Linked DNA regions of Coturnix japonica. The protein of the gene in region 2 purifies or fractionates together with the protein of the main gene of each other region. This does not show direct contact. Links are inferred from orthologs where the notes say so. Each region holds a gene or a part of one and is shown on either strand. Other genes may lie near its edges. The genes, in order: SYK and BLNK.

Region 1 (3,889 bases), on a different chromosome or scaffold from region 2:
ATTAATACATACCACCATCAGCTAGTTACAAACCAAGTGATAGTGAAACCACACAAAATAATACTCTATTACATTTCTGCATTCTGGCTATTTAAGAATATTTCCTACATTTGAAGTTGTTCTGTTACCTGGTACAGAGAGGTGGCAGATACCTACGAGAACTTATAAGATGAAAACTGAAGCTCAATTGGTCTCAAAATATTTTTCCCTTTCTTTCCTTTCAACAAACTCATTTAAAGCAGTGGTCACTTAGTCATTGTGCACACAGAGACAGGAAATTCTGAACTAATTTTGGTTTTGGAATGTAAAGATAAAGCAACACAAAACTGTTTCCCTACAATAAAATGGTATTTTCTCCAAATTAGAAGTTAAGATGATCCTGCAAATGCTTGCAGTGTGATAAGTTTTCACTCTTATGACTGAACTACATTTCTCATGTTCACAAGATTATCTTGAGCTTTTAAAGAGAACACTGTGCTCAGACTGAAGTCGTGCACAGTCTTAGTGGCACAAGTATGTTCACCCCGATGCAGAAGATCACACAAGTACACCTCATCTTTAAATGCAAAATAAACAATTTTAAATAGCTGACTGGAATGATCTTTCTGTAATTGTTACTCACATGCAAAGATACACACTGAATTCCTTATAATTACAATACAAAATCATACATGTTCCCCTTTTCGGCCATTTTATCCTGGAGCTAAACATGTAACTGGTGTGCACAAAACAGGTATTGAACCACTGATCGAAGAGTCCATAAAGCTGAAAAATGGACATCACCATCTAGTACCTTTCTGCCATAAATACAGACACAAACACAATTGCTGACAGTCACAGTATTCTCACTAGGAATGTCAGCCAATTTACTGTGGGCTTTGTAGGGTTTTTTTGTTTGTTTGGTTGGTTTTTAGGGTTTTTTTTTTTTGTTTTTTTTTTTTTTGTTTTTTGTTTTTTGCTAAATATTGAGTAATGAAAAAGCATAAAGAAAGTAAAATGAATCAAAACTGATTATAAAAAAACAAACTTTGATTGCAATCCCATGAACTCTGAACACAACATATATTTCAGTAGTGACTTCTGCTCCTCATGTCTCTGTCATAACATACACACACACCCACACACAAAGATAAAAGTGTATGGTAACATGTCTATGTTATATTTTTTGTTATTAGGGTGCTTAAATCCAGCTTCTGGTTTTACCATCAGTGCTCTAAAATGCAGTTTAGTTTCCAGCGTAACCTGCTAGCTCCTACTAAAATTGAACTTCTGGTTTTGTCTTCCTGCAACTTCAGATCTAATTCTGCTCTTCTTTCAAAATGGACAAGTAGCACTGTTCACTGCTGATCTTATGGACTTAATACTTTCTAAAGGCAGAAAACCAAGAACACTTCAACAGTTTATCATGGGGTTTTGCAGTTATTTCATGTACATTTGAAATCTGAAGCAATTACTTACATTTTGGGGCACATTCGGTGATTCCAAACCTTTTAGTTCAAAGTCTTTGCCAAACTATAACATTTCTCCCCCACAGGAAAACTGTCAGAAATAAAGAGCATTCAAACTTCCTTATTTGTCTCTATCACTGAATGTTCAACAGAGGGATGAAAAAACAACACAGTTCCTCTAACTGGGCTGCCTCAACGTGTTCTGCTCTGCTTCAGCTCATGGCCTCTGAGCCTGTAGTAGCACCGAGCTTAAAAGACTGATAGTCACTTGAACCAGACAGCTGTGCCTGTGGATTAAGCTGCAGATTCAGCCCAAAGAATTGAGAATTCTAAATGTCTTTGGATAAAAAGAATATAAAAGAAGCCCAACTGAAAAGAACATCAAAAGAAGTTACAAGGAGTTCATTCCCTTAGATGGAATTGTTTTGTTTTGAAATGGAATTACTCTGTAATATTCCATGCATTCTGGCCAAATTGTGTCTCAATCACCTCTGGTGGGGTCGGCGTCACCCAACAAAAGCAGCATCCATCTCTTCCCAGGGTGGCATTACTACACCCACACCCAATGAACTCCAGCACAAACTGCACATAGTACAGAGCTACAGAAGAAAATACTGCCCAATACTGAAATGATCAGCAGCAAGTCAACCATTGCACCCTTAGTACCAACATTCAGCACTTCTAGCAATGCTCTGTGATTATTCTGACAGAAACAAAATCCAGATTTTTTATAAGAAAGAAGCTCTTTTTAAAGCCATTTTCCCAGGTGCCAAATCTTTTATATACTATGCACCATTCAGAAGCTGAACAGTTACTTTAGTGTAAATTTTACGCTGTTAAAAACTACTCCGCAACACATTCAAAACATGACTAAATCTATATATTTTCTGTATTTAAGTTCCATATTCTAGTTCCTCAAATGCCAGGCTACCGATGTTACTACAGAAGGACGGAACGTTCCAGCTTGCCTCAGCAGATTGGCACATTTACTCGCCGCTCTCCGGGTAAACCCCGGAGAAAAAAGGCGGCTGGCAGACCCCGGCCCACCCCGCTCGTTGTTGCCAGCATCCCCCCGGCCCGGCGTGGCCTCCACTCACCGCTACGGCGGCTCCTCCGCTCGCCGCCTACTGCCGCCCACCGGCTCCTCCTGGGAGCGAGCCGAGCGGCGCGGCTCAGCCGAGAGCTGTGCCCGAGTTATGCGTTGCGAGAGCCGCCGCTTCCTCGTTTTCTCTCTCAGCCGAGGCCACTTCCTCAACGAACTGTCGGCCCCCTGCTCCCTCCCTCGGGCGATTCCGGCCCCCGGCCTGTCAGAACGTTTGTCCATGAGGGTGTGCGGTGTGCGACCCGCGGCGCCCCGACGTGCGTGTTGTGGTGCCCGATGGTGTGAGGTGAACGTGGGAAAGCAGAGGGACGCAAGAGTGGTCGTCTCTTGGGAGAAAATGAATAGACCCGCTGATTGTCAGCATTGAAATGTAATGTATTTTGGTACTTTTGTGTTTTGGTGAGAAAATTGCTTCTGGAGGAGCAAAAACGGTTTGTATTTGAAACAACATAGGATCTTTGTGCTGCATATGGTATTTACTCATTTTGTAGCCGCTGCTAGTATGGAAGAGACAACACCTGGTGTGGAAGAGAGCTGAAGAGGACCCCGTCCCTAAGGCTCCATGTACGAGGGAGTCAATTCCACTACAGATGTCTGCACATGCAACAGACGGCAACAAGCTTCTCCAGGATGCGCTGCCACTGGCATTGAATGGCACCTCAGGTGCACCTGCAGCCATGCTTCTCCTTCAGGCATGGCCACTGCATGGTGGTGTTGTGTGCCATGATGAGCAGCACTAACGTGAGGCGAGGTCTGTTTCCTGCTCCCTTGTATTAAGTGATTGCTGCAGTGAGTGGGCCTGCTTATTGTATAAGAAAGAGGTGCTGCAAGGAAGCACTGGCTCTCCTTCCACATCCATTATACTAAACAGAGCTGCCAAAGGGCAAAAGCCTCATGTTTCATACCGGTTGAAAAGGGCCTTTCTTTTGGTCTGATTGCCAAAGTGCAGATACATTTCTGAATTGGCACTACCTGTGTGTTAAGAAAACTTGATTCTTGGAGGGCCTTTGATGGCATAAGTCTTTCCTAACACCATCCAAAGGCACAGTCTACAGGAAATGGCTTTTGGAAAGTCATTACTGTGCTATGAACAAGATTTTAAGCAGAAGTTTCTTCTTAAATTGGTGAAAAAAAAAAAAAATGTTTCATGACTTTTAATTATATGTGAGCAAGAGTACTTGACCTGGTAAGGGTAGAGTTAACTTTCCGCAGCAGCTGATATGGTGCCTATCTGGGATTTTGAGTAATAGCGTATGAGTAATGCATTTTCTTTGCTGCTGGGCACTGCTGCTCAGTGGTGAGGTTTCCTGTGTTTTGCACTCTGCCCCAGTCCTCGCCA
Region 2 (3,822 bases):
GGGAAAGACAAATAAGAGTCAGCGTTTCTTTAGAAACATGTTGTCCCTGGTAAGACTGTCTCAGTAGATGAAGGAGGGCTTCTTTACTTGTTATCATCTTTTTGGAGGATTTTCTCACGTGGAGGCTTGCCATCCTGCTACCGTCATTACTGACTAGTGGCACTCTACCAAAGTTTATAAGCAAATAGCTGCACTCTGAGTGCCCACAGAACTCTGTGGGAGCCCTGCCTTCTGGGGGGCGAGCTGTGTGACACAGAGGACAATGCTGGCTGCTCAGCCAGAGGAGCTGCAGTGGGGCTGCAGTTACCCTGTGTCAGGCAGCAGCCCCAGCTGAGCTTTTGCCTCAAGGTGCTGCCGCCTGGCACTGATTTCCTGCCTGTGTGATGGACTGGCTCTTGCCAGGAGCCATCTCTATGTGAGATGCTCCTTGCTGAGCTCAAAATGATGCGCTCATGCTTCCCCTCCCTTCCCCTGTCTCTGCTTTGAGGACTATATGGCACACTGCTGCTGCGTTATGTCATGCCTTATGCTGCCAGTAACCTCAGAAGTTTTATTGCGACTGCTTTTAGAGAACAATGATACTCAGTGCAACTAAGGCTGGCCAGATCCAGTTCTAAACTGCTAAGACCAGCCTCTCCTAAAATAACAAGGATAAATTGGATGTGATATTGTTTGTTTCTAATAAGAAAAATAAATAACTTTGATAATGTCAACTTTTCCAAACTAGTGGAGAAAATTTACCTTCATTTACAGTGAAGTTGTCTCTGGAAGGCAAGCATGGTTTCTGTAATTAAACACAGAATTACAATACTAAATAACATGTCATTACATTATTTACACAGCAAATATCTTTTTACAGTTGTTGTTAACTAGTTTACATTCAGAACTGATGGAGTCCTGTGGGTATCAGGAGGCAGGGGCACAGCTATTCTGAGAAGAGCCTCTGGCTGTATGGCAATGCAACTTGGGGTTTTGTGAAGTAGATTTGGAAAGAATCCTAGTTTGTGGGAATGAATGGATGGACAGAAGAAAAATTCAGAAATGAGTACTTTAAGACTTTTTCTTTTAGTTTTCATCCCCATGAGTAATTTACAGTTCCTTCTGACCTCAAGTCCAGAAATGAAGAGTTCATCCCAAATACTTTTGAATCAAAATTTGAATATTTTCATCTTTGTTGATCTGTACATACAGATGTCTGAACCCATTCTTCTTTCTGTACTGAAGCTCAGACTGCCAGTTTAGCCACCAGTAAAATCCCTCTCAGCCTTCTACTTAAGTTTGGTTTTTTTTTTTCCTCCTTCCTATTTTAAATTGATGATAATAAACAGCCAGTTTCAAAATATGTTTCCTATTTAATTTAATAGGAATTTTCAACAATTTATCTCTTTTTCCTACTGGAAGTTTTGGGATTTCTTATAAAGATGAAATGCTTATTGAAAAAAAAAACCTGACTAATCCTGGTAAAATCCCACATCTTTCTTGAACTATCATTCTGAAAATAAATGTATGTTCTTTGTATGTAGGCCCTATTTATTTCAGGGATTTCCTTCTTATTTCTCATTTTAATTCAGTCCTTGCAGTATGTGCATATTGTTACATTCAGGGGAGACTTATCACTTTCTACAGCTTCCTAAAATGCTGTAGCAAACTGGGGGTTGGTCTCTGCTCCCAGATAACAGTGGTTAGGATGAGAGGTAATGGACTTGAGCTTCATCAGTGGAGGTTCAGGCTGGATATAAGCAAGTGTTTCTTCTCAGAAGGAGAGTAGTAATGCACTGGCACAGGCTGCCCAGGGAGGTGGTGGAGTTACCGTCTCTGGAGGTGTTCAAGAAAAGGATAGACATCACTCTGAGTGACCTGGTGTAGACTGGTCACACACATGGACTTGTGGTTGGGCTGGATGACCTTATTTCTTTTTTCCAACCTTAATGATTCTATGATTGTAGGGTATCAGATCCAAACATTCATTTAATCTAAACATTTTTCTACTTGAGCTTTCTCCCTGCTACTTATTTCATGTAAATGCATCCACGCTTATTCTTCTAGTCTCTCTTCTGCTTTTTCTGTGCCTTTACGTTGTAGCCAAATTCATGATCAAGTTTGATCACACAAAGTTATTGCTTAATTATACAATTATAGATCAACTTACTGCTGGATTCACACAAAGTTATTGCTTAATTATACAATTATAGATCAACTTACTGCTGGATTTACTGCATTAGAAGTTTTCTTTCTGTAAATTGTAGGAAGAAAGGAACATGGTTACTTGGCTGATACATGGAATTCATTTAGCAACCAAGCACGTGCATGCTATTGCTGCTGTACTTGGGTAGATTAAGCAATCCAGCCAGCATTTGCCGTCAGCAGCACACAGTGAAAGGCAATGTCACTGGTTTACAAACAGCATTCCTCCAGAAATAATGGAAGAATAGCTTGTCTTCCCCTAAAGTCACAGTATTGTTCATTAACTGCAGAAAAAAACATTATTCCTGAATTGATTGCCACAGACCAGGTTAGGAGTTGGCTCCCAGTACAGCCAGTATTAATTTGCCCCACCCTCAAAGAAGTAGCTTGCCTATTATTTTTACTCACAGGGCCCTTGGTAATGGAGATGGAGCTGCTCCAGTAGGAAATTTAGATTCTTGTGTATTATTGAAGCTATGATCTAGAAACAGATATGAAATATTTAGCATGCAATATTAGCTTCGCCTGATTAATGGGTTTTCCTCACTGTATTTCAATGTTAACATATCAGAGGTTAAAAAAAAAGCCAGTGGTTTGATTTTCTTGACATGTTTTCACTCTGATTGTATTAGAAAACAGTTCAGGAGCATTTCTTGCTTGTTGCTGGCTAATACAGATAACATTTACACTGACACATTCCACTGCATGGTACGTTAAGGTCACCAGTGACATACTGACAACAAATTCTGCTCATACCACCATGTTTACAGTACAGAATACTTACTTGCATCATTATTGTTTGCTTCATGGTCCTGTAATGGAAAAGTATGTTAGATTTGACAAGAAGCAATTTAATTAAGTGGGAAGTGCATAAGTTATCTGTGGTTGCAGTCTGTACTAGTTTTTAATTATATATTTGTATAGAGAGCATACAGTATCCAGGATATTTTTCATAGCTTCTGTTAGGGGATTTGAAAAAAATTAGCCAGCCAATTAATTTTGAACATTATAATAAACTTAGGCTTTCATAGAGTATGGATAAAATTGACCCTGAATTTTGTAGTGAGATCTATTAGTTCATATTTCATTTCTGAAATTGAAAGCTCAAATTCTGCAGCAGACATTTTGCACTGAACTAACAGTAGTGAGCAGACTGACTTTCCACCTTCCTAGAACAGAAGCAATCCAATTTGTTTTGTAGTTTCTTCTGTAGATGCTTTCTTTTGGCACCCAGATACTGTCCTTTAGGGGAGACTTTGCTCTGAAAAGTACAATTTAAAGAGGCACCAGCTACTCTTTTTTCCATTTTCACCCACCAGGTTAATGGCTTTTCACTAATGTTGGTTACAAACACATCCATTCCCTGGTTGGAATGGTGTGATCCTCCCAGTCCTCTTAAACGCAATTCCTCTGGGGACAGCATTTTCAAGTGATAGCGTTTACTCACACTACCCAGTCAGTGAAGGCACTCGAAGGTACTCCAAACTGGGCAAAATAACTCATTGCTACTGAAAGTCAAGTTCTTGTAGTTTAAGCAATTTTTCTCCCCCCCCCCCATCCCCCACACCTTTTTTTTTTAAGTACAGGATGGTATTTGTACTTGAAGCCGTTTGAAATTTTTTCTTAGACCAATACAGG

Evidence for each region.
Region 1: the proteins of BLNK (region 2) and SYK purify together in Homo sapiens (affinity purification with western blotting; 3 studies listed by BioGRID and IntAct, with this or other methods). This does not show direct contact. The link is inferred for Coturnix japonica from reciprocal best matches to the Homo sapiens genes BLNK and SYK.

Annotation. Positions count from the first base shown.
Region 1 is NC_029547.1:39,247,136-39,251,024, reverse strand, and holds the start of SYK (tyrosine-protein kinase SYK), read right to left. Parts: upstream 2,840-3,889; 5' UTR 2,546-2,839; intron 2,503-2,545; exon of another isoform or gene 1,459-2,502; intron 1-1,458. UniProt on the Homo sapiens protein: Non-receptor tyrosine kinase which mediates signal transduction downstream of a variety of transmembrane receptors including classical immunoreceptors like the B-cell receptor (BCR).
Region 2 is NC_029521.1:18,330,977-18,334,798, forward strand, and holds part of BLNK (B-cell linker protein), read right to left. Parts: intron 2,997-3,822; coding exon 2,969-2,996; intron 2,666-2,968; coding exon 2,593-2,665; intron 2,234-2,592; coding exon 2,203-2,233; intron 785-2,202; coding exon 742-784; intron 1-741. UniProt on the Homo sapiens protein: Functions as a central linker protein, downstream of the B-cell receptor (BCR), bridging the SYK kinase to a multitude of signaling pathways and regulating biological outcomes of B-cell function and development.